Elephas maximus indicus: one gene and its partners. The protein of the gene in region 3 purifies or fractionates together with the protein of the main gene of each other region. This does not show direct contact. Links are inferred from orthologs where the notes say so. Each region holds a gene or a part of one and is shown on either strand. Other genes may lie near its edges. The genes, in order: TRPC1, KCNA5 and CAV1.

The links.
Region 1: the proteins of CAV1 (region 3) and TRPC1 purify together in Homo sapiens (affinity purification with western blotting; 3 studies listed by BioGRID and IntAct, with this or other methods). This does not show direct contact. The link is inferred for Elephas maximus indicus from reciprocal best matches to the Homo sapiens genes CAV1 and TRPC1.
Region 2: the proteins of CAV1 (region 3) and KCNA5 purify together in Homo sapiens (affinity purification with western blotting, with the first as the bait; 3 studies listed by BioGRID). This does not show direct contact. The link is inferred for Elephas maximus indicus from reciprocal best matches to the Homo sapiens genes CAV1 and KCNA5.

What each region holds. Positions count from the first base shown.
Region 1 is NC_064841.1:17,106,746-17,114,766, forward strand, and holds the start of TRPC1 (short transient receptor potential channel 1), read right to left. Parts: upstream 3,087-8,021; 5' UTR 2,599-3,086; coding exon 2,424-2,598; intron 1-2,423. UniProt on the Homo sapiens protein: Forms a receptor-activated non-selective calcium permeant cation channel. Forms a heteromeric ion channel with TRPC4 or TRPC5 that has reduced calcium permeability compared to the homomeric TRPC4 or TRPC5 channel.
Region 2 is NC_064822.1:61,626,226-61,633,948, reverse strand, and holds the start of KCNA5 (potassium voltage-gated channel subfamily A member 5), read right to left. Parts: upstream 3,061-7,723; 5' UTR 2,750-3,060; coding exon 941-2,749; 3' UTR 1-940. UniProt on the Homo sapiens protein: Voltage-gated potassium channel that mediates transmembrane potassium transport in excitable membranes. Forms tetrameric potassium-selective channels through which potassium ions pass in accordance with their electrochemical gradient.
Region 3 is NC_064826.1:33,195,050-33,202,454, forward strand, and holds the start of CAV1 (caveolin-1), read right to left. Parts: upstream 3,024-7,405; 5' UTR 2,930-3,023; coding exon 2,900-2,929; intron 2,420-2,899; exon of another isoform or gene 2,222-2,419; intron 1,498-2,221; coding exon 1,333-1,497; intron 1-1,332. UniProt on the Homo sapiens protein: May act as a scaffolding protein within caveolar membranes. Forms a stable heterooligomeric complex with CAV2 that targets to lipid rafts and drives caveolae formation. Mediates the recruitment of CAVIN proteins (CAVIN1/2/3/4) to the caveolae.

The DNA of each region.
Region 1 (8,021 bases), on a different chromosome or scaffold from region 3:
ACAGCCAGAATGTTTCTTAGAAGCAAGGATGGCAAGGCTTCATCTCACATACTTTGGACATGTTATCAGGAGGGTCCAGTCCTTGGGGAAGGACATCATGCTTGGTAAAGTAGAGGGTAAGCGAAAAAGAGGAAGACCCTCGACAAGATGGACTGACACAGTGGCTGCAACAATGGACTCAAGCTTAACAAAGATTGTGAGGATAGAGAAGGACTGGGCAGTGTTTCGTTCTGTTGTATACATGTTTGCCATGAGTCAGAACCAACTCGATGGCACCTAATGACAACAAAGTTCAACAATATTAGAGAATACAAATGTAAACAAAAAATGCATTCCTATAACTTAAGTTTATTATTTAATGTAAGTTTATACCATAAAGTATGGATAAGAAATATGCCATTTTTCTAAATCTAATCCAAGAACTTGTTTCAACATACTGAACCATAGGAAATACTTATTTTATCCAATCATTTAAAAATTTTTTTACTTTTAATTTATATAAAAAAACAAACAAAACCCATTGCCTTCGAGTCGACTCCAACTCATAGCAACCCTATAGGACAGAATAGAACTGCCCCCACAGAGTTTTCCAAGGAATGCCTGGTGGATTGGAACTGCCAACCTTTTGGTTAGCAGCAGTAGCACTTAACCACTGTATCACCAGGGTTTCCTGTAAATGGGAAACAAAAGCATGCATATTTAGCTTCCACCTCATCCCCAAAAGACAAATCTTTCCCAGGATCTTAATGATGTTATAAAATGGGAATTGACAAAGGATATCAAACTGTTTATGCTGGCACTACTGGATAGACTACATTAAAACTCCCTTTTGAGATGTGTGACGTAGTATTCCTAAATACACAAGTACCCACTCCAGCCATATCCCATCACGATATTCCTCTGTCCTCAGTTTGGCAGGAATATCAAACTCCCTTTCTTGACATACTTTCCGTTTGCTTTATTGCAACCACAGCACACTGAGCGTGGGCGGGTGCAGCAGCTGCTTGCTCATTCCGGTACAACACACAATCTCTCTCCTCCTCTGGCAGAGAATTTCTGAGGAACGAGGACTCAGGCAAGCTACTCCAGCAATACTAAATAATTTTACATAATCCACAGGCCATAACTTTTGTGAGGTTACAGATCTATATGCTATTTTTCTTTACATTTCCAAGACTACTCAAAGTTGTGTCCCTGGTGAACTTTAACAAATGCTTTTCACAGTATTTAACACCGTTACATAAGAACATAAAAGTGGATTGACAACAGAGGTAGTTAGACCTTATTTATGTCAACGTTTTTTTCAAAAAGTTGGGGAAATAAAATCCTCTTTCAAAACCAGTAAGGAGGTTAGGGTGATGGTCATTTATTAAAAACACAGGCGCAACCACAGGGGCACAGACGAAAAATCCTCCGTAGCGGATACTTCCGCACTCTAAACGGCCCTCGGTTTGTTTTGGAGGTCTGCATTATTCTAAACAAAGTGTTCCTCAGTGAGCATGGCCACTGTACAGCAAGCCACATAAGTTTAGAAGCAGAAAATTTTCAGTGCTTTTTGTACAAGTAGGAAATAAAAGCAGTCTTGGGGCAATCAACTTCCCACTCCTTTTATTATAGGCATCACCAGAAAGCAGGCTTCAATGAAGACTTTAATATGGCCATAAAAGCCATCAATTTCTAGATTTAAAAAAAGAAAGCATACTAAATACAGTCCACATATTTTTGCCCTGTAATTATTGTGCACTACCTTCATTTCCCATAGAAGGCTCGGGAGCAATAAACCTTTCTCTCCCAAAACAGCTCGAACCATCAAAGCTGTTCCATAGGGCTGAAGAAAGTTTTAGGGGCTAAGGCAGAATTTCTCCCGTTCTGCTTACTTCATATATCTCCAGCTATGATATAGAGATGCCTAACTCCGTTCAATAGTCACTGAACATATATTGGCTAAGGCACCGGGCAGCTGAAGCGAAATAAGAGAAGTAAAATCTTAAAAAAAAAAAAAAAACGAAACCCAGTGAGAGCCCATAAACACGAGAAACCTTAAGGCAGGGTCGTGGAATTTCTGGACTAGAAGGTCCCAGTGAAAGGAGACAAAGCCCCTCGGCCCCCAGAAGAAAAGAACTGAGGTCCCGAGAGGTAGACCAAGGCAGAGCCGGGGCTAGGACCCCCATGTTCGGGTCCTCGGGGTGCTACCTAAACATGGGACAGCACGAGGGGAAGCCACGCCAGAGCAGTCCCCGCCGCCAGCCCGGCACTGGGAGCGCAGAGGCGGTGCGGGCGGCACCGACAAGGCAGCGAGCGCGGCGGGAGCGCAGGCTCGGCGCGTGGGAAAAAGTGCGCCGCGAGTAAACTGAGGCAGGGAGAGGAAGAAGGGTGCGCAGGGCAGGGGCGTCCCGAAGGCGGGGAAAGGGGCCAGCTCTCACCCTTGTCGCACGCCAGCAAGAAAAGCTTCTCATTCAGGGTGTTCTCCTCCTTCACCTCCCGCACATTCTTCAGAGCCGTCACCTCGTTCGGCGACCAAGAGGAGGATGGGGAGGACGGCAGGGAGGAGGCGGAGGCGCCCGAGAGGTCCGTGCTCGGGTACAGGGCCGCCATCATCGCGGCCCACGACGGGGGCAGGCCGGGGGACGGGGGCGGGGCCCCCAGCGGCCCCGGCTCCGGCCCCAGCCCCGCCCCGCTGCTGGAAAAGGGGTGAGTCGCTCCCCCGACCGCCTGGGAGCGCGGCCCCTTGGCCCCGCAGGGTGTCGTCTCCCCTCGGAGCCAGCACTCGCCCTCCACAGACAGCCCCAGGTTGCTGGCGGCGCATGCGCGGGCCCGGGGCCAGCGCCCCCTTCCCAGCCGCCGGCGCCCCGGCCGAGCCGGTCCGCGCCCGTCCGGGGACGACAGGGTGGCGCGCGCCAGGGCAGCAGCCGGGCGCGGGGCCGTGCCAGGAGCCGCAGAGGCCGCGTGGGAGGCGGCCCGGCCCGCGTGGAGGACGAGGGCTCGGTGGGAGAGGAGCCCTGAGAGGCGCTTCTGCGCACGTCGGGCTCCGGGGCCGTGGAGCCGGCGGTCGAGCTGCGCCCCGAGGAGATGCTCGCGACTCTCTCCTCACGTCATCCTGCGCTCGGCGACAGCGACGACAGCGGGGCGGGGCCTGCCGAGCTAGGGCTCAGGGGCCAGCGGCTCGGGGTGGGCGGGGCCTGGGGGGGCGGGCTCGAGGGACGCCCCACCTACCCCCCGGCCGCTTGCGGGCTGCTTCGCGCGCAGAGGAGGGGACCGGCCCGTTCCACCCTCTCCACGCAGAAATTGCTGGTGGCAGGCGGTTTCCACGCTGTCTCCTGCGCACATTCACTAAAGATGCAGCGGTATGCTAATTGAGTTTCTGACGACTTAACGTTCAGTCGAAACCCCTCGTGCCCTTTGCAAGAGCATTTTATATTCCGGTGCACGCTACCTAAAGCTGAAAGGAGGGAGCCCCGCATGTGTCCATCTGCGTACCTACATCGAGCTGGCTACCTCATTTCTAAAGACCGTATTTTTTAACAACTCTCTTGTGATCTGAAATTGCCATACCATTCCTGGCGTCACACATTTATTTATTCCACGAATTCAAGTGTACTTACTGATATGAAACCAACGGCAAAGCGTATTTTTAGGACCTGCTCTCCATCACAGTCGTTCCAGTGGTTTCCTGTTCCTCTTTACATTTATCAATTTCATTTTGAAAGATGGCCTTGTTATTCAGGCAAAAGCTGACTGAAGCTCAGTAAGTGCTACTTCCTTGAATAATTTATTTTTTATCAAGGTTCTATTTAAAGCAAATTATCCATTATAGAATATTGCTGTTGTCTTGCATCTTAAAAAGCTAGGGAGAAAAGCTGGAAGTTACATCTCTTGAATAATTACTATTGCTTCCCACGACAAATTGTACCAAAACCTTAATTGTGCACTTAAGATTTCAGGCTTTAAAGCAATACATAAATTTGTGTGCGAAAGAGGGTTTTTGTCCTGTCCTATTAGCGGATCAAAATAAGACAGAAGTCACACCACCAGTGGCAAGGGAAACAAAGTGGAAATTTATTGTTTGCACAAATAAGGAGCAAGGTGGAACCTAGCAACCTAAAGGACCACAGGCTCCCAGCCCCAGGGGAGCTTGGAGCTTTTATGCCCTCCAGTCCCTGGGAGGGGGGCGGGATTGGCACCCAAAATCCAACACTCCGCTCCCTCCCATGTCCATATTTGGAGTTCTAGGTGCTGACTCATTTAGCAAAGGAAGGGACATTTTGTTCAGCAAATGGGCTTGGGTGCAGCTGTGTGCCAGAGTACACCTTCCTCTCCCGGGAAGTTCAGGTCGGGGTCAAGTTCAGGCCTACGGCTCTTCAGGTCCTGTGCATGCCTGGAGATCTTGGTTTCCGCATGCGTGGGATTTCGGTGCCAAATTCAAACCACGGGCAGGGCCAACGGCGCGATTGGGCCAAGGTGCAGTTAGAAACCTCGGCTTGGCGGGCTACGAGGGAGGGAGGGGGAAAACTGCAGCATAGCAGGGGAAGCCGCGGAGGCGGCTTCAATTTTACCTCAGCATCTTATATTTGAGGGGAATACTTCCTACTCAGGGCCCCTAGGGGCCCAAATGGTTAAGCACTCAACTACTAACCGAAAGGTTGGCAGTTCAGGCCCATCCAGAAGTAAGGCCTGGCGATCTGCTTTAGAAAGGCCACGCCTTGAAAACCTCTGGAGCAGTTCTATTCTGCACACATGGGGCCGTTATGACTTGGAATCCACTCCATGTCACCTTAACAACAACCTCCTACTCCATTCAGGTTGATTTGTTTCATCTCTGCCAACACCTTCGGCCCCAAATCTATCATTCGGAGTCCTCTCTAGATCTTCTGTAAGAGGCCTTAGCAGATAGCAAGATTGCCCATCTTTCCCGGCATCTTTATGTGTGTACAGACTTCAAAATAGTTGATTACCTATTGTATCATTTAGTTGTTTTGTCTTGTCTGTAAAACCCCACCCGCTGCTGTCAAGTGGGCTCCAACTCACAGCAGCCCTACAGGACAGAGTAGAACTGCCCCACAGGGTTTCTCAGGCTGTACTCTTTACGAAGCAGACTGCCACATCTTTATATCCTGTGGAGCAGCTGGTGGGTTCAAACCATCAACCTTTGGGTTAGCAGCCAAGGGCTTAACCAGTGCACCACCAGGGTTCCTTGTCTATAGCAAAACCAAACCCATTGCCGTCAATTCTGACTCATAGCAATCCTATAGGACAGACTAGAACTGCCCCCACAGGGTTTCCAGGGAGGGGCTGGTGGATTCAAACTGCTGACTTTTTGGTCAGCAGTTGTGTTCTTACCCACCACGCCACCGGGGCTCCTGTTTGTCTATGCCCCACCCAGATTGTAAGTCTCCATTCCATAATGTTTAATACAGTTCCAAGTTTGTGGAATGTCAAAATCACTCATTGTAGACTTGTGGCCAGTAAGCAGTGTTTATACGCATATCTGTGTGTGTATTTAGACACTCTTTGTTGCTGTGTGCCTTCCAGTCGATTCTGACTCAGGGTGACACCTCTTTTAGAAATTAATCCGGTCCTTATGAGAGTCCTCTGGATAAATTCTCTGGAACTTCTAGACGAATTGGGGTTAGTAGTCCCACAAAAGTTTTAGTCAGTAGCAGAATAACCCCAATTCATCCAGACATTCCTGAGTATTTTAGGATAAATATTCTCTCTATATAATTTTTTTTTGGGGGGGGAGGCTGACTCAAAAACTACTTTAATATGATGCGTTTTCAAGCTTCTGGGCTTAGGTGATTGATTCCTTATCCAGAGGACTCCCATAAGTACTGGGTTAATTTCCAAAGATTGGGGGAATTCCAACCTACTTTAGTAGATAATCCTAGGAGGCATACCAAAGTATTTGGGACATTCCTCCTTTAAAGTAAACCCATATTGATGGTATGATACTATACATAGAAAACCCAAAAGACTCAAAGAGAAAACTACTGGAACTAATAGAAAGATTCAGCAGAGTAGCAGCATACAAGATAAACGTACAAAAATCAGTTGGATTCCTATACACCAATAAAGAAAGTGATGAAAAGGAAATCAGGAAAACAATACAATTTATAATAGCCCCTAAAAAAATAAAATACTTAGAAATAAATCTAACCAGGGATGTAAAAGACCTATACAAAGAAAACTACTAAACGCTACTGCAAGAAACCAAAAGTGAACTACATAAACGGAAAAACATACCACGCTCACAGATAGGTAGACTCAACATTGTGAAAATGACAATTCCACCCAAAGCGATTTACAAATACAATGCAATCCCGATCCAAATACCAACAACATCCTTTAAAGAGTTGGAAAAACTTATCATTCACTTTATATGGAAAGGGAAGAAGCCCCGGATAAGTAAAGCACTACTGAAGAAGAAGAATGAAGTAGGAGGACTCACACTACCTGACCTCAGAACCTACTATACAGCTACAGTAGTCAAAACAGCCTGGTACTGGTACAACGACAGATACATTGACCAGTGGAACAGAATTGAGAACTCAGATGTGAGTCCATCCACCTATGGTCATCTGATCTTTGTCAAGGGCCCAAAGTCCATCAAATGGGGAAAAGACAGTCTGTTAAACAAATGGAGCTAGCAAAACTGGATGTCCATCTGCAAAAAAACAAACAAACAAAAAAATGCAACAGGACTCATACCTCATACTATATACAAAAACTAACTCAAAATAAATCAAAGACCTAAATATAAAACCAAAAACCATGAAGTTCACAGAAGAAAAAATAGGATCAACGCTAGAGGCCCTAATACACGGCATTAACAGGATATAAACCACAACCAACAATACACAAGCTCCAAAAGATAAGCTAGATAACTGGGATCTTCTAAAAATTAAACACCGATGCTCATCAAAAGACTTCACCAAAAGAGTAAAAAGAGAACCTACAGACTGGGGGAAAAAAAATGGCTATTACAAATCAGACAAAGGTTTAATCTCCAAAATCTACAAGAAAATCCAACACCTCTACAACAAAAAGACAAATAATCCAATTAAAAAATAGGCAAAGGAAATGAACAGACACGTCACAAAAAAAGACATTCAAGCAGCCAACAGACACAGGAGGAAATGCTCAGGATCTCTAGCCATCAGAGAAATGCAAATCGAAACCACAATGAGATACCATCTCACCTCGGCATTACTGGCACAAATCAATAAAACAGGAAGTAAATGTTGGAGAGGCTGCAGGGAGATCAGAACACTTATGCACTGCTGGTGGGAATGCAAAATGATACAACCATTTTGGAAAACGATATGGTGCTTCCTCAGAAAGCTAGAAATAGAAATACCATATGATCCGGCAATCCCACTGCTAGACATATATCCTAGAGAAATAAGAGTCATCACATGGACAGACATATGTACACCAATGTTCATTACAGCATTATTCACAACAGCAAAAAGATGGAAACAACCTAGATGCCCATTAACAGATGAATGGATAAAAAAACTATGGTACATACACACAATGGGGTATTATGCAACGATAAAGAACAACGATGAATCTGTGAAGCATCTCATAACATGGAGGAAATCTGGACGGCATTATGCTGAGTGAAATAAGTCAATCACAAAAAGGACAAATGTTGTATGAGACCATTACTATAAATACTTATGATAAGGTTTACATATAAAAAGAAACAATCTTCGATGGTTATAAGGGAGTGGAGGGGTGGGGATGGAAAAACACTTAATAGACAATACATAAGTGGAAACTTTGGTGAAAGGTAAGACAGTACACAATACTGGGGAAGCCAGCACAACCTGTACAAGGCAAGGTCATGGTAGCTCTATAGACACATCCAAACTCCCTGAGGGACAGAATTGCTGGGCCAAGGACTGTGGGGACCATGATCGCCAGGAATATCTAGTTCGTCTGGCATAACATAGTTCATAAAGAATATGTTCTACATTCTACTTTGATGAGTAGCATCTGGGGTCTCAAAAGCCTGTGAG
Region 2 (7,723 bases), on a different chromosome or scaffold from region 3:
ACCTTAGCTCTCCAAGTTTTCTACTGCAGTCGGAGCATTTGCTCTGACTCCAAAACCAGAAACTGCAAGTGGCAGACCGAGAAATTAAAAATAATAATAAAAAAAAATACATCGGCTAAAGAAAAACTAACACTTGCCTCAACCAAGTAACATTTTATTTCCTGGGATAAAAATAAAGAGAATGAATTATCAGAAGTCTGCCTCCACCATCATTAAAATCCTTTTTGAAGAAAGTTATGAGAATTGTTTAAGGCGCACAGAAAAGTCAGGTTTGCCTTTTTCCCAGAGTATTTCCTGGCGAGACACGGAGCATCAATACCACATCCCAAAAAAGAGAGGCTTGAGGGCCCGGGAACCAGAACAGCCAACCAGCATCTCTGGCTCTAATGTAAGTATCACAGAAAAACAACTCTCTCCTCCGTAAACACAACATATGTCATGAAAATATATCCAAAATATCTCCAGGTGAACTACAGTACAAAATCCACTTGCCAGTCATAAAAATAAGATTTGCCTCTATACACAAATATAATCATATGTAAAGCAAACTTGGAACACACAGATGAGGGGAGCTTACAAAATCTCTTGGGATCTGGGCTATTTAAAGTCATTTTTTGTTTGGGTTTTCCCTCTGCTGGGTATAGGAAACTGGCTACAAATACAGCCATTTCACAGCGCTCACCATTTCAACAGCTCTTGCGTCATGGAATGTGGTACTTTTTAAAAATAGGCGACCCTTGGTGTTATGGAAAAAAAAAAAAAAGAAGAGGAAAAATGGGGGGTCAAGGGAGGAGGAGAAGGAGGGAGAGAAAGAGGGAGCAAACTTAGGCTACAGGGTAGGCTTGAAACACTCTGTGGTAAAAAGTAGAGACCCGGGTTCAGGAGACCTACATTGTCCCCCACCCCACTTCCCCCCATCCCAGTCTGCCTTGATCTTGGTTTACAGATCTGTTTCCCTGCTGGTGTCCAGGCAAAGAGCATACAGGGACCTCGGTAAGTCCACATTGCTCTTAGCCTTGAGGTTGCATTTTTCTACAGGGCAGCTGCCCCTTCGGGCTCCGTCTGCATTCTCCAGGGACCCCCCAGCCTTGCCAAGGGAAACCTTGCTCCAGCTGGCCTTGTGCAGGCCTCCACCATCAGGCCCTGTCCCCTGGCTCTGGCTTCCCTGCTCTTCCTTAAGGGCTGCCTGGTCCTCGTGGTCCGTCTCCCGGTGGTAAAAGTAGTTGAAGTTGGAGACAATGACGGGCACTGGCAGTGCGATGGTGAGGACCCCAGCAATGGCACACAGAGAGCCCACGATCTTGCCCCCAACAGTGATAGGCTTCATGTCCCCATAGCCCACAGTAGTCATGGTGACGACTGCCCACCAGAAAGCATCCGGGATGCTGGAGAAGTGGGTCTCCTGGGTGTCGGCCTCCGCGAAGTAGACGGCGCTGGAGAAGAGGATGACTCCAATGAAGAGAAAGAAGATGAGCAGGCCCAGCTCTCGCATGGAGGCCTGCAAGGTCTTGCCCAGGATCTGCAGCCCCTTGGAGTGGCGGGAGAGCTTGAAGATGCGGAACACCCGGACCAGGCGGATCACTCTGAGGATGGCCAGGGACATGGCCTGCTGCCCATTCTGGCCACCTCCTCCACCTCCTGGTTGTTGCTCTGCCAGCTCGGTGCCCAAGGTGATGAAGTAGGGGAAGATGGCCACCACGTCGATGATGTTCATGATGTTCCGAGAGAAGTCGGCCTTGCTAGGGCAGGCGAAGAAGCGCACCAACAGCTCGAAAGTGAACCAGATGACACACGTGGTCTCCACAATGAAGAAGGGATCGGCCAGGGTCCTAGGCAGAAGCGGTGCCACTGTTGAGCCAGGGGGAGGCACCATGGCCCCGCTGCCATTGGCACCTGGGGCAGGAGCAGGAGGCTGGTGGGGTACTGGGGGATGGCGGAGCAACTCTCCTTCATCCCTGAATTCAGGCAGGGTCTCCAAGCAGAATGTGATGATGGAAATGAGAATGACCAAAACCGAGACGATGGCGATGGCCCGAGCGGACCCAGAGCTTTCCGGGTATTCGAAGATAAGCCACACCTGACGTTGAAACTCATTGCGGGGCAGGGGCTTCTCCTCCTCTTTAATGAAGCCCTCATCCTCCCGGAAGCGCTCCATGGCCTCGTCCCCCAGCTGGTAGAAGCGGATCTCATCCGCGAACACATCCAGCGAGACATTGACCGGCCGCCGCAGCCGGCCCCCTGACTGGTAATAGTAGAGGATGCCATCAAAGCTGGGCCGGTTGCGGTCGAAGAAGTACTCGTTCCTCAGCGGGTCGAAGTAGCGCAAGCGCTTGGCCGGATCCCCCAGGAGGGTGTTGGGAAACTGCGCCAAGGTGCCCAGCTGCGTCTCGAAGCGCAGTCCGGAGATGTTTATGAGGACGCGCTGGTGGAGAAGGGACCCAACGCCCAGCGCCGGATCGTCTGCCATGCCCACGGCAGGGTCGCCTTCTCCCTCCTCGTCCTCCGAAAGAGGTGGTCTAGGCTGCGGCAGCTCCCGGGGCAGCGGTGACAGAGACCGCCCTCCCGGGTCTGCGTCCCTTTGCGCGCTGCTCCCCCTTGGTGCCGGCTCTTTGCTTCCTTCACTGAGCTCAGCCGTCGAGGGACATTGGAGCTCTCCCCCTGTGACTTGGCCACAGCTTGCAGGGGTCTCACCTCCTCCTCGGACGGTCAAGGCACCGCCATTCTCCAGGGGCACCAGGGCGATCTCCATGGCCCAGGGGCAGGGGGCATGCTGAGCCCCTACCGACCGGCTCCGGTGGCACCCGCTCACGTTCCTCCGGGCGCCTGGCGTCAGGCTTCTCCCCCGCGGGTCGTTTGGCCGGCCCCACTTTGGGGCGGGCTGGGTTGGCTGGCAAGATCCCTTCGCTTGGCCCTGACGTCAAGAAGCCGCTGGCCTGCTCTCTGCTTCTCTCTCTGTTCTGGCAGCCGGTTACCAAGCAGCCAAAAAGCTTCTTTCCCGCAGATGCAACCTTCAGCCGCTCCTCTCTGGCTGCGCGGCGCTCGACCTCCAACCTCGGCAGCTCCCCTCCTTCCCCCCGTCCCCTCTTCCTCCTCCCGCCTCCCTTCCCGGGTCTCGTGGCAGCGGGTGTCTCCCCGGAAGGCGCAGCTGGGGCCCCGGGCTAGGGAAGGGAGGGGGGCCGAGGAGGGCGCAGCCGGGCAGAGGGAGGGAGGGAGGGAGTGGGGAGGATGGAGGAACAGGTTGTACCGAGAGCGCTGAAACTCCCAGGGCAACCAGATGAGAATAGCTCTGGATTTCAGTTCACCTGGGAATCCGCTGAACGCCGAGTGGACTCTAGGGGAAATGAATTGCCTTGCGTTGAAGGCATGAGGCTTGGAGCTGGGTCAGCGTATAAGAGACGGGAGAAAACAGTTTTAAATTTTTCCTTTGGAAGAATAGTGGTATCCCATCTATGGGAAGAATGGGGGAGGGAAGGCGGGAGGGAGCGGACGTGGCAGAATGTTGGCCTTTGAATAATTAAACAAATAAACACTCTCCAGACTAGTGCAGAAGCTAAACCCACAATAAGGCACGCGGCTGAAATCTTGGCGTTTCCCCCTGCCCAAACCTATTGCTAGGGAGTCAATTCCAACTCCTAGCAGCCCTATAGGACAGAGTAGACTACCCCATAGGGTTTCCAAGAAGCTCTTCGTAGATTGGAACTGCAAACCTTCTGGTTTGCATCCAAACACTTGACCACTATGCCACCAGGGTTTCCCCTGTCAGTAGCCTTGATTCCCAATCCAGACTGAGGTGCCAGGCCAGGACAGACCCAGGCAGGCAATCCCAGGCAAGCCGCCTCATCAGATTGACTGCCTAGCCACATAACCCAAAGGACACACAGCCCTTCTGTTCTCTCCACCAAATTTTATTTGCAAAAAACTAACAGGGAAGGAGAGGAGGGATGAAGAGATCCTGGGAAGGACTGTTTCCGCTGGTGAAGCACAGAGCTACAAATGGAGCAAGTTTGTCTGCAGAGGCAGAGTTTATGACTGAGAGCCAGGGAGGTTACAGAATCCACACTAGAGAATTCCCAGGAGCAGAATAATAGCAACCAGCATTTACGTGCTCTTATTATGTATCAGGCCCATTCTCAGCACTTTACAAATATTGAGTCTTGTATTTCTCACAGCAACCTATTTTGTGGTGTTGTTGTCATTGTGTGCTTTAAAGCCAGTTCTGACTCATAGCTACCCTATAAAAAATAGGACAGAGTAAAACTTCCCCATAGCGTTTCCTAGGCCATAAACTTTATGGGAGCAGATCACCAGGTCTTTCATCCCACAGAGCTGTTGTTGGTTTTGGACCACAGACCTTTCAGTTAGCAGCTCAGCGCTTTAACCATTGTGCCACCAGGGCTCCTTAACCTATGTTGTAAGAACTACTATTATTCCCTATTTTGTAAGTGCCATTATTATCTGTTGGTTTGTCTCCCGTGGTGGCTTGCATGTTGCTGTGATGATGGAAGCTATGCCACTAGTATTTCAAATACCAGCAGGGTCACCCAGGGTGGATAGGTTTCAGCAGAGCTTCCAGAGTAAGACAGACTAGGAAGAAAGACCTGGCAATCTACTTCTGAAAAACTGGCCAGTGAAAACCTTATATATAGCAGCATATATATTGTCTGATATAATGCGGGAAGATAAGCCCCTCACGCTGGAAGACACTCAAAAGACGACTGGGAAAGAGCTGCCTCCTCAAAGTAGAGTCAACCATAATGACTTGGATGGAGTAAAGCTTTCGGACCTTCACGTGCTGATATAGCACCAGTCACGATGAGAAGAGACAGCTGCAAATATCCATTAGCAATCGAAACGTGGAATTTACAAACTATGAATTTAGGAAATTTGGAAGCTATCAAAAATGAAATGGAATACTTGAAGACTGATATCCTAGGCATTAGTGCACTGAAAGGGATTGGTATTGGCCATTTTCAATCAGACAATCATATGGTCTACATGCCGAGAATGACACCATGAAGAGGAATGGCATTGCTTTCATCCTCAAAAAGAATATTTCAAGACCTATCCAGAAGTACAATGCTGTCAGTGATAGGACAATATCCATATGTCTTCCAGGAAGATCAGTTAATACAACTATTATTCAAATTTATATACCAACCACTAATGCCAAAGATGAAGAAACTGAAGATTTTTACCAACTTCTGCAGTCTGAAATTGATCAAACATGCAATCAAGATGCATTGATAATTACTGGTGATTGGAATGTGAAAGTTAGAAACAAAGAAGATTAGAAGTTGGAAAACAGGGCCTTGGTGATAGAAACAACACCAGAGACCGCATGATAGAACTTTGCAAGACCAACGACTTCTGCATTGGAAATACCCTTTCCAGCAACATAAACACCAGCTATATACGTGGACCTCACCAGATGGAATATATAGGAATCAAACTGACTACATCTGTGGAAACAGACGATGGAGAAGCTCAGTCTCATCAGCCAGAACAAGGCCAGGGGCTGACTTCAGAGCAGACCATCAATTGCCCATATGCAAGTTCAAATTGGAGCCGAAGAAAATTAGATCAAGTCCAAGAGAGGCAAAGTATGACCTTGAGTATATCCCACCAGGATTTAGAGACTATCTCAAGAATAGATTTGATGCATTGACAACTAATGACCTAAGACCAGAGGAGCTGTGGAATGACATCACGGACATCGTACATGAAGAAAATAAAAGATCAATAAAAAGACAGGAAAGAAAGAAAAGACCAAAATGGATGTCAGAAGAGACTCTGAAATTTGCTCTTGAACAGAGTAGCCAAAGCAAATGGAAGAAGTGCTGAAGTAAAAGGGCTGAACAGAAGACTTCAAAGGGTGGCTCTAGAAGACAAAGTGTAATAATGAAATGAGCAAACACCTGGAGTTAGAAAACCAAAAGGGAAGAACGCACTCAGCCTTTCCCAATGTGAAAGAACTAAAGAAAATATTCAAGCCATGAGTTGCAATGTTGAAGGATTTTATGGACAAAATGTTGAACGATGCAGTAAGCATCAAAAGAAGATGAAGGAATACACAGAGTCACTGTACGAAAAAGAATTAGTCAATGTCCAACCATTTCAGGAAGCAGTATATGATCAAGAACTAATGGTACTGAAGGAAGAAGTCCAAGCTGCACTAAAGACATTGGCGTAAAACAAGGCTCCAGAAATCAACGGAATACTAATTGACATGTTTCAACAAACAGTTGCAGTGCTGGAAGTGCTCACTCATCTATACCAAGAAATTTGGAAGATGACTACCTGGTCAATCAACTGGAAGAGATCCATATTTTTGGCCATTCCAAAGAAAGGTGATCCAAGTAAAATTTTGCTGAAGATAATTCAAAATTGATTGTAGCAGTATATTGACAGGGAACTGCCGGAAATTCAAGCCAGATTCAGAAGAGGACATGGAACGAAGGATACCAGTGCTGATGTCAGATGGATCTTGGCTGAAGGCAGAGAATACCAGAAAGGTATGTTACCTTAATTGTGCTCACGAGGAACCTTTACATAGATCAAGAGGCAGTTGTTCGGACAGAATAAGGGGATACTGATTAGTTTAAAGTCAGGAAAGGTGTGCCTCAGGGTTGTATCCTTTCACCATATCTATTTAATCTGTATGCTGAGCAAATAATCCGAGAAGCTGGACTATATGAAGAGGAACGGGGCATCAGGATTGGAGGAAGACTCATTAACAACCTGCGTTGCGCAGATGACACAACCTTGCTTGCTGAAAGTGAAGAGGACCTGAAGCACTTACTAATGAAGATTGAAGACCACAGCCTTCAGTATGGATTACATCTCAACATAAAGAAAACAAAAATCCTCACAACTGGACCAATGAGCAAGGTCATGATAAATGGAGAAAAGATTGAAGTTGTCAAGGATTTCATTTTACTTGGATCGACAATCAACAGCCATGGAAGCAGCAGTTAGGAAATCAAAAGACGCATTGCATTGGGCCAATCTGCTGCAAAGGACCTCTTCAAAGTGTTGAAGAGCAAAGATGTCACCCTGGAGATTAAGGTGCGCCTGGCTCAAGCCATGGTATTTTCCATCGCATCATATGCACGTGAAAGCTGGACAATGAATAAGGAAGACCGAAGAAGAGTTGACACCTTTGAATTGTGGTGTTGGTGAAGAATATTGAATATACCACGGACTGCCAAAAGAACAAACAAATCTGTCTAAGTACAACCAGGATGCTCCTTAGAAGCAAGGATGGCGAGACTGCGTCTTACATACTTTGGACATGTTGTCAGGAGGGATGAGTCCCTGGAGAAGGACATCATGCTTGGCAAAGTACAGGGTCAGCGGAAAAGAGGAAGACCCTCAAGGAGGTGGATTGACACAGTGACTGCAACAATGGGCTCAAGCATAACAACGATTGTGAGGATGGCGCAGGACTGGGCAGTTTTTGTTCTGTTGTGCATAGGGTCGCTATGAGTCGGAACCGACTCGACGGCACCTAACAACAACTACAATCAGAGTTTAGGTCTTTGCTCCCTACACTCCACTGCGTCTATAGAAAGGCATACCACCTTCCCATATACAGATGCTCCCTCTTCCCAACATCTGACCCAAGAGCTTTAGTTTCTTACTGCAGGGGGCAGGTACATAGCTGAGATGACATGTAAACCTTTGTAGTTTAGGAATGCAGGGACTCCCTGGGTGGTGCAAACGG
Region 3 (7,405 bases):
TGGGGCTGTGCAGGACGGTGTCTTCATACTCCTACCAAGAGGTCAGGCCTTTCCTTGGCCCTCGATGTCCCTCAAAGAAAGCCCTCTGCCAAGGATGGCTTAGGCCCACGATTTCTCAATTCAGATAGATCCAGACAATAAATTCCTCTGACTAGATTTGCTAAAATGGGTCAAAGTTGAATAACATAATAGTAACCAAAAAACTGACCACTGAGCCAGCTATAAGTTTGCGCATAACTTATTCAATCTATTTTTAGTCTTACTAAACATATCCTGAAATTACAAGAAGGAACCCCAACCCCAGTATCCCCTTAGCTCAGGGCAGGCTGACCTGTTAGCCACTAAAGAAGCATCTTTCCATACCTAACGAGGGGTGTCTAGAGGAGAAATCAAGAGGTGCACAGTAGTTTGTTTTTGTAAAGTTGCTTAGCTGTGCACAGGCGCCATGCTTTTCTAGTTGAAATACCCTTCCCTCAATTATAATTATAAATGTAGTATATACAGAAATATATGTGTATGTTTGTATATATATGTGTGTGGAAACCCTGGCGGCCTAGTGGTTAAGTGGTAGCCAAAGGGTCGGCAGTTTGAATCCACCAGGTGCTCCTTGGAAACTCTATGGGACAGTTCTACTCTGTCCTATAGGGTTGTTATGAGTCGGAATCGACTTGAGGGCACTGGATTATATATGTGTGTTGTGTGTGTATATACGTGTATATATACGCAGTAATATATATATTTATATATGTTTTGTTTTTGGGGGGACCTATTTATATATATATATTTTTTTTTATATATTATTCCACTTTATTATTTTTAAGAAAATCACTTCAGGGTATTTAGCAGTGGGCTGCCCATTCTGTATTCTGCTCTCACCTTTGGCACATGACCTTACACAGTTATCTTACTACCTTAATTCCATGTTCGGTGGGTGTCACCCTTCACTAGATTGCACTAGACTCCGACCTGGAAATCGAGAGGGTCTCTTATAACGTGGCCATCTCACCTTCCCAAATAATCTGAGCCTGTCTGTTGCTGAGGTCAGGAGGCTATTTACCAGAAGAAAAGCGCAGTTATATGGGCTACAAAACTCAAGTTAACTAAATTCCAGCTGAACTAAGCAAGGCGGGGGGTGGTGGGGAGGGGGGCGGGGAGGATGTGACATTTCAACATTTCTAACAACCGCACGCGCTCCCACACATCCAGCCTAGAAAACGGCGTGTGTGGCAAAGCTAGAAAAGAACGCACAGGCTGATTGCCAGGGGTGGGCTGTCCAGGCCCTGACAGCGGCCCCTTAGGGACGTCCCCTCCCCTCTTGCCGCCTCCGCTTACCTTGACCACGTCGTCGTTGAGATGCTTGGGGTCGCGATTGACCAGGTCGATCTCCTTGGTGTGTGCGTCGTACACTTGCTTCTCGTGCATCTCCTCTGCCATGTCCCTGTTGTTGGGCTTGTAGATGTTGCCCTGTTCCCGGATGGGAGCGGTATAGAGATGTCCCTGTGGAGCGCGGACGGCCAGGAGGGAGAGGGTGGCACCAGTGGTGGCAAGAGAATTTAAAAAAGAAAAACAAGCGAGCAGAAGTTAACCTGGCTGTGAGGAAAACCTCGAGGATTGAAATCGAACTAACCGCGTCGGCAGCGGCGGCTCCGCGCAGAGTCAACTCTTTGGCGCCGCAAGCTTTTTAAGAGGATCCAGGCGAGGACACCACACCCCTCAGTACCAGGCAGGGAGCGCCAGCCTCCCCCGCCCGCCGCCAGGGGTCAGGGCGAACCCCACGGCCCGGTCCGCCGTGGCCCCCGCCCCGCGCGCACCCTGCGTGCAGTACCCGGTGGAGACCCCTAGCTGGGAGGGGGCCCCCCAGATCTCTGACTTGGCTCCAGCCCCTCTCCCCGTCACACCACCCTCGCCCCGAAGGCTTCACCTGCTCCAATGCCCTTCCCCAGTCCCTCCATAATCCCCGTCTCTCCATAATCCCTTCCAGTTTCATCCTTAAGAGTTTATCCTCATTTTCGTCTTCGCATTTTCGTTGTTTCCTGACAGCTCGCACCTGCCCACGTGCCCCACCCTACCTCTGCCCTCTGTTGACCCCCCCCCCAAGTTTTCCCCTTCCTTTATAGTGGTTACAGTCCCGTATCCCCTCGTCTCTGGGCCGAGCCACGTGCCGAACCCCCGAAATTCCCCATCCGAGCAACATCTCACTCGCACTCCTCCCCCGACCCACCCTCAGGTAACTCCTAGACCGCAGGCCTGTGACTGAACCGCTTGTGCGTTTGGGAAAACGAATTCTCCACACCCGGGAGGATGCGGGACGTGGGGAGGTGGTTGCAAGCGGTGGTGGTAGTGGCGGAGAGCGCGGTCTGCTCCTCTCCAAACACCCCTGCCGGGCGCCAAGATGCAGGAAGAGTTCTTGAGATAGCCCAAGAGCTTTGGAAAGTGCAAATACGGCAAGCGGTCCGGGCGCCTGGCGGGGACTCTCGGGGACTGTCCCCAGGCCTGCGAGTAAACGACCTCCTCCCGCCCTCTCCATCCTCCCGCCCAGTGCTCCAGCTCCCCGCCTCGCAACAGGTAGGGGCCGGTTCGTGGGGGCCCGAGACAAGGGAGCGTCCCAGACACATCCAGAAAATGCGTTCTCGGGCCGGCAGACTCAACCTCAGGACCCCGACCCTCTTTTCCGCGTTCCCCTAGCTCAGAGGCCCCGCTGCCCCCTGCCCCACAGGAAAACTTTCTTGGCTCCTCTTCGCCTCCCCCGCCCAGGTCCATTCCTTAGCCGTGCCAACGCGCGAGGAGTGCCCCAAAGTCAAGAGAGGGCTGGGGCTGGAAAAGCAGCTGGAATATGTGGAGTAGGACATAGCCGGCACAGGTACTACACGTGCGCCCCGCGCCCAGGACCGCAGCCTACCTCGGAATCTACGTATTTGCCCCCAGACATGCTGGCCGGTGGCTGGATGAAGGCTCTCAGGAGGCTTCCCTGGGCTGCGATTTAAGGGAACTGAGGAAGGAAGATCTTGTATTGTATAGAGGGAAAAAAAGGCACTGGCGGCGGGCGGTGGCTGGGAGCGCGCCTCCTGGCCGCGCGCCAGGAGTTTGTTCTGCTCGCGGTTGGCCAGGACGTGCGCGGCGCTGGGTCTAGGCACATCCCCAAAGTTCTGGCAGCAGAGGGCGGGGAGGGCCCGCAGGGAGCGGAGAGCGAGTGGGAAAGCTTGAGCGCGCGGAGGGCTGTTTGGGCAGATGTTTTAAACCTGGGGCAACATTTTCCTAGCTATGAGCCACCGAGAGGCATCTTGAGGACAGCGAATGCTTTCGCAGTGCATCATCCGAGCAAGGGTGGGGGTGCACGCAGCCGACCGGCCTGCAGAGATGCCCAGAATGGGCACTCGAGCCGTCGGAAGGAATTCTCCCCTCTTCCAAGCCCTTTTTCGCCTTGCCCACTTTTCATCGCCTCCTGAGAAACATGGCTCCACCATTCAGAGGAACGGGTGAAGAGTGGCTCGAAACCTTTAGGTGTATTTCACATCGAGACACAAGAAGGAATTTAAGTGGTGCACGTGTGTGTGCTTTTGGTGACACTTGTTTACGTCTAGGCGGCGTGGATAGCAACTTGGATAAACCGGCACGCGCAATTTGATGTTTCACGACCGCTTCTGAAATGTTTCCCAAATGCTTTGAAATGAATACAAATGTTTGACATTTCTCTAATTTTACTACTGCTCTTTTCTTGAACAAAGAAAATTCATGCCAATAGATTATGCCATATTTACAAAATATATACAATATTTAACGGTAAAGAAATGTTTAAAGCTTGGAATTTATTACCAGACAAGAATTTAAAAAAAAAAAAAAAACGTATCGGGCTGTGAGCTAGGGGGAACTTGGGTTTCCTAGTGTTATGGATTGCATTGTGTCCCCCCCCCCAAAAATGTGTGTCGTTTTGCCTAGACCATGATTCCCAGTATTGTGTGATTATTCACCATTTTGTCATCTGATGTGATCGTCCTTTGTGTTGTAAATCCTACCTCTAAGATTTTAATGAGGCGGGATTAACGGCATTATGTTAATAAGGCAGGACTCAATTTACAAGATCAGATTGGCTCTTAAATCAATCTCTTTTGAGATATAAAAGAGAGACTCCGTCAGAGAGACAGGGGATCTCATACCAACGAGAAGCAAGAGCCAGAGGAGCAGCAGTCCTTTGGACCCCATCCCTGCGCTCAGAAGTTCTAGACCAGGTGAAGACTGCTGACAAGGACCTTCCCCCAGAACCTACACAGAGAGAAAAAGCCTTCTCCTGGAGCTGGCACCCTGAATTCGGACTTGTAGCCTCCTAGACTGTGAGACAATAAACTTCTGTTTGTTGTAGCCGCCCACTTGTGGTATTTCTGTTAGAGCAGCACCAGATAACTGAGACACCTAGTAACTGATACGGGAATTTTTAAAAACTTGTCAGCAATTAAAATATTTTATCTGTCCCCCAATTGCGACTTCTCTTTACCTTATCATAAGCAGCACAAGATGAATTAAACTACTCCTCATTTTACTTTTTGGCTATAATAAGACAGGAAATAAACTATCCAAAAATGGAAAGAACTTTTTCCCTAAGGTTACATATGTAATTAAAAGTCAATTATATACGTGTGTATTTACTTCACGTTATAATTGACGTATACATATATATGTCGATTTTCACTTAAGGTAAAAAAGCTGGGAATACACCTAAAAGGTCACAGGTTAATTAAAAACACTGGCAATCTAGAAAGGTAAAAAAGCTGGGAATACACCTAAAAGGTCACAGGTTAATTAAAAACACTGGCAATCTAGAAAGGGGAATAAAGGAGTGGGCAAAAGGAGGAGGAGAAGGGAAGATACAGAATAGAATCATAACAAAGTAGATTATCTAGTTGGAGAGAAAAAGGTATGAACATATGAAAAGGAAACCATAAAGGACAGGCTATTGATGGTAGCAAAAAGACAACACAATATTTAATTAAAAAGATCTATTTCAACCAGGAATATTAGGCAAAGTGTCACGAATGTTGGCATGACTTTCGGTATGCTGGTTATTCATCACTAGAAGGCTGAAGATCTTTTAAAAGTTGGGTTTTCTTCATTTTATTTCTGCCAAATTGCATTTCTAAATTCTTTGAACAAATCATGTGTTAAAGAACATGATATGCTAGCAAAGGATGGTGCCAGGTTTAATATGCTGTGTAGTGACTAGTCTACCTCTACTGATTACTGTTGGCTTAACTCTTTCTTCATAAATATTTGCTACAAAACAGTTGGGGTTATGGTCTATGGAAAAATGTCCAAAGCATTTCCCATCTATTGTTACTCAGTCTTCAGCTGCGGATGAGTAATTTTGACCGTGGGGGGAAAAAATCAAGAGGAACACGGAGAGAGCTTGTCCTGCATTCCAGCAAGGAAAGGACTTTCTTGGGAGGCTGTTGAGTGAATGCTTAACCAGCACTCCACTGAGGGAAAGCCAAGCCTGCTGGGGTAAGTCCACAGAGACGGTGAATTAACAGCTGCAATCGTGATGATCAGTGAAGCGTTGTCAATGCCAAATGAATTCCTAATGAAAGGAAAAACCACAAACTCCTTATTAACCTGCCTCAACAAGAAGCTGGCACCAGAGAGAAACAGATCTAATTCTGGTTATAATAACAAACTTTGAATAATAGCTCCACCTTTATGAGAAAGAAAAGACGAAGAAGAACATTGTTAGCATGAGAACACCATTTGAAATGACTACATGATATAAAAAATAAAAATATTGTTTCTTTGATACTCACACAGATAACTGTATGCTTGGAGGTAAGTTAATAGCTTTCTCCAAATCATTTACTAAGAATTGGGTAGATGGCAACTCATTTCTCATTACTTTTTTTTTTTTAGAAGTAGGATTAAAGGTCAGTTCATGTATCAAAGTTTACGAGAAAAATGTAAGGGACACAGATCAGCTGGTCCAACCATCCTAGAGATGAGGAAAGTGGTATTGAAATATGTTAAACTGTTTGTTCTTTAGAAGGTTTATTGGGTAATGAAACATTTTAAAGTTGATAAATGACAACAGCAGCAGTTAACTTAAGGGATGTATTTGACTATGTACAGCAGTATAAATTTGATGATATTTAAATAGCACAGTAGTATAAATTTGACTGTATTCAAGTAGTATAGTCAGGGCAAAATTCTGACGTGAACTTAGCTGTTTTTGTGTTCTCTCATCTCCTTCTCTGAGCCCGCTTTCCCCCTGTCACGACTTCCTCTTCCCATCCTTCCCATCCTGAGTTCTTTTTTACTTTCCAATCAGTTTCCCTGGAGTTGGCTCCTACTCATGGTGACCCCAGGTGTGTCAGAGTAGAACTGTGCTCCACAGGGTTTTCAATGGCTGATTTTTTGGAAGTAGATCACCAGGCCTTTCTTCCAAGGCTAACCTCGGGGTGGCCTGAAATTTCCAACCTTTTGGTTAGCAGCTGAGTGTCCTTAACTGTTCGCATCACTCCTATGTTCAGCTAAAAAAAAAAAATGTTTAGCTAGCTTCATCTAATTCCCACTCTAGGATTAGGTGATAAGGAGTCCAAGTTTTGACCACTTACAATGGTATTAGTAGTTTTAAGAAACAGATTTCTTTCCAACAATTTCCAAATACGTTTTTGTCAGTTAGTCCAGAAAAGAGATTATAATAGGGGCTATCATGTGGAATGATAGGAAACACCTTTAATAACCAGTATGACAGAGCCACTGATCAGTCATTCTGGACTGTAGCTGTCTTGGAATCCTGCTGGCTAGGCATTAGTCCTTCCTTTAGTTGCTGGATCATGGGGTGCAGGGCTCAGGAGAAGGGCTGCAGGGAGGTGAGGCATTTTGGAGCAGTGACTGTTTACATGAAGGCACATAAATCTGTCCGTATTTTTACAACCTATGTGTTCAGCTGAATCTTTACTCTGTTTGTCACCATTAGCACCCCACACACCTTACACTATTCTTCACACCCCGATTCCCCCTTCCCCCACCACTGAATGCCATTTTAAAGTGGGAAAAACTGGTTTTCTAGGGGAAGGCTTGTCACACCCTTTAAGCCTTTCTATCCTTATTCAAAGCGTCCTGGTGGTGCAGTGGTTTAGTAGCTTACCCACTAGAGGCTCTTCGTGAGAAAGATGTGGCAATCAGCTTTCGGAAAGATTACAACCTGGGAAATCCTATGGGGGCAGTTCTGCTCTGTCTTATGGGGCTGCTATATGTTGGAATCAATTCAATGGCAACAGGTTTTTGGTTATCCTTATTCAGGCTTGAAGGTCCCATAGCATCTTCTCTGGTTTGGATCTTTCCACTTTGAGTATTTTAAATGATTTTTTTTTCTGTTTCTTTTCTTAAAAGACATAAAAACAACTATTTCTACTTTAAAAAG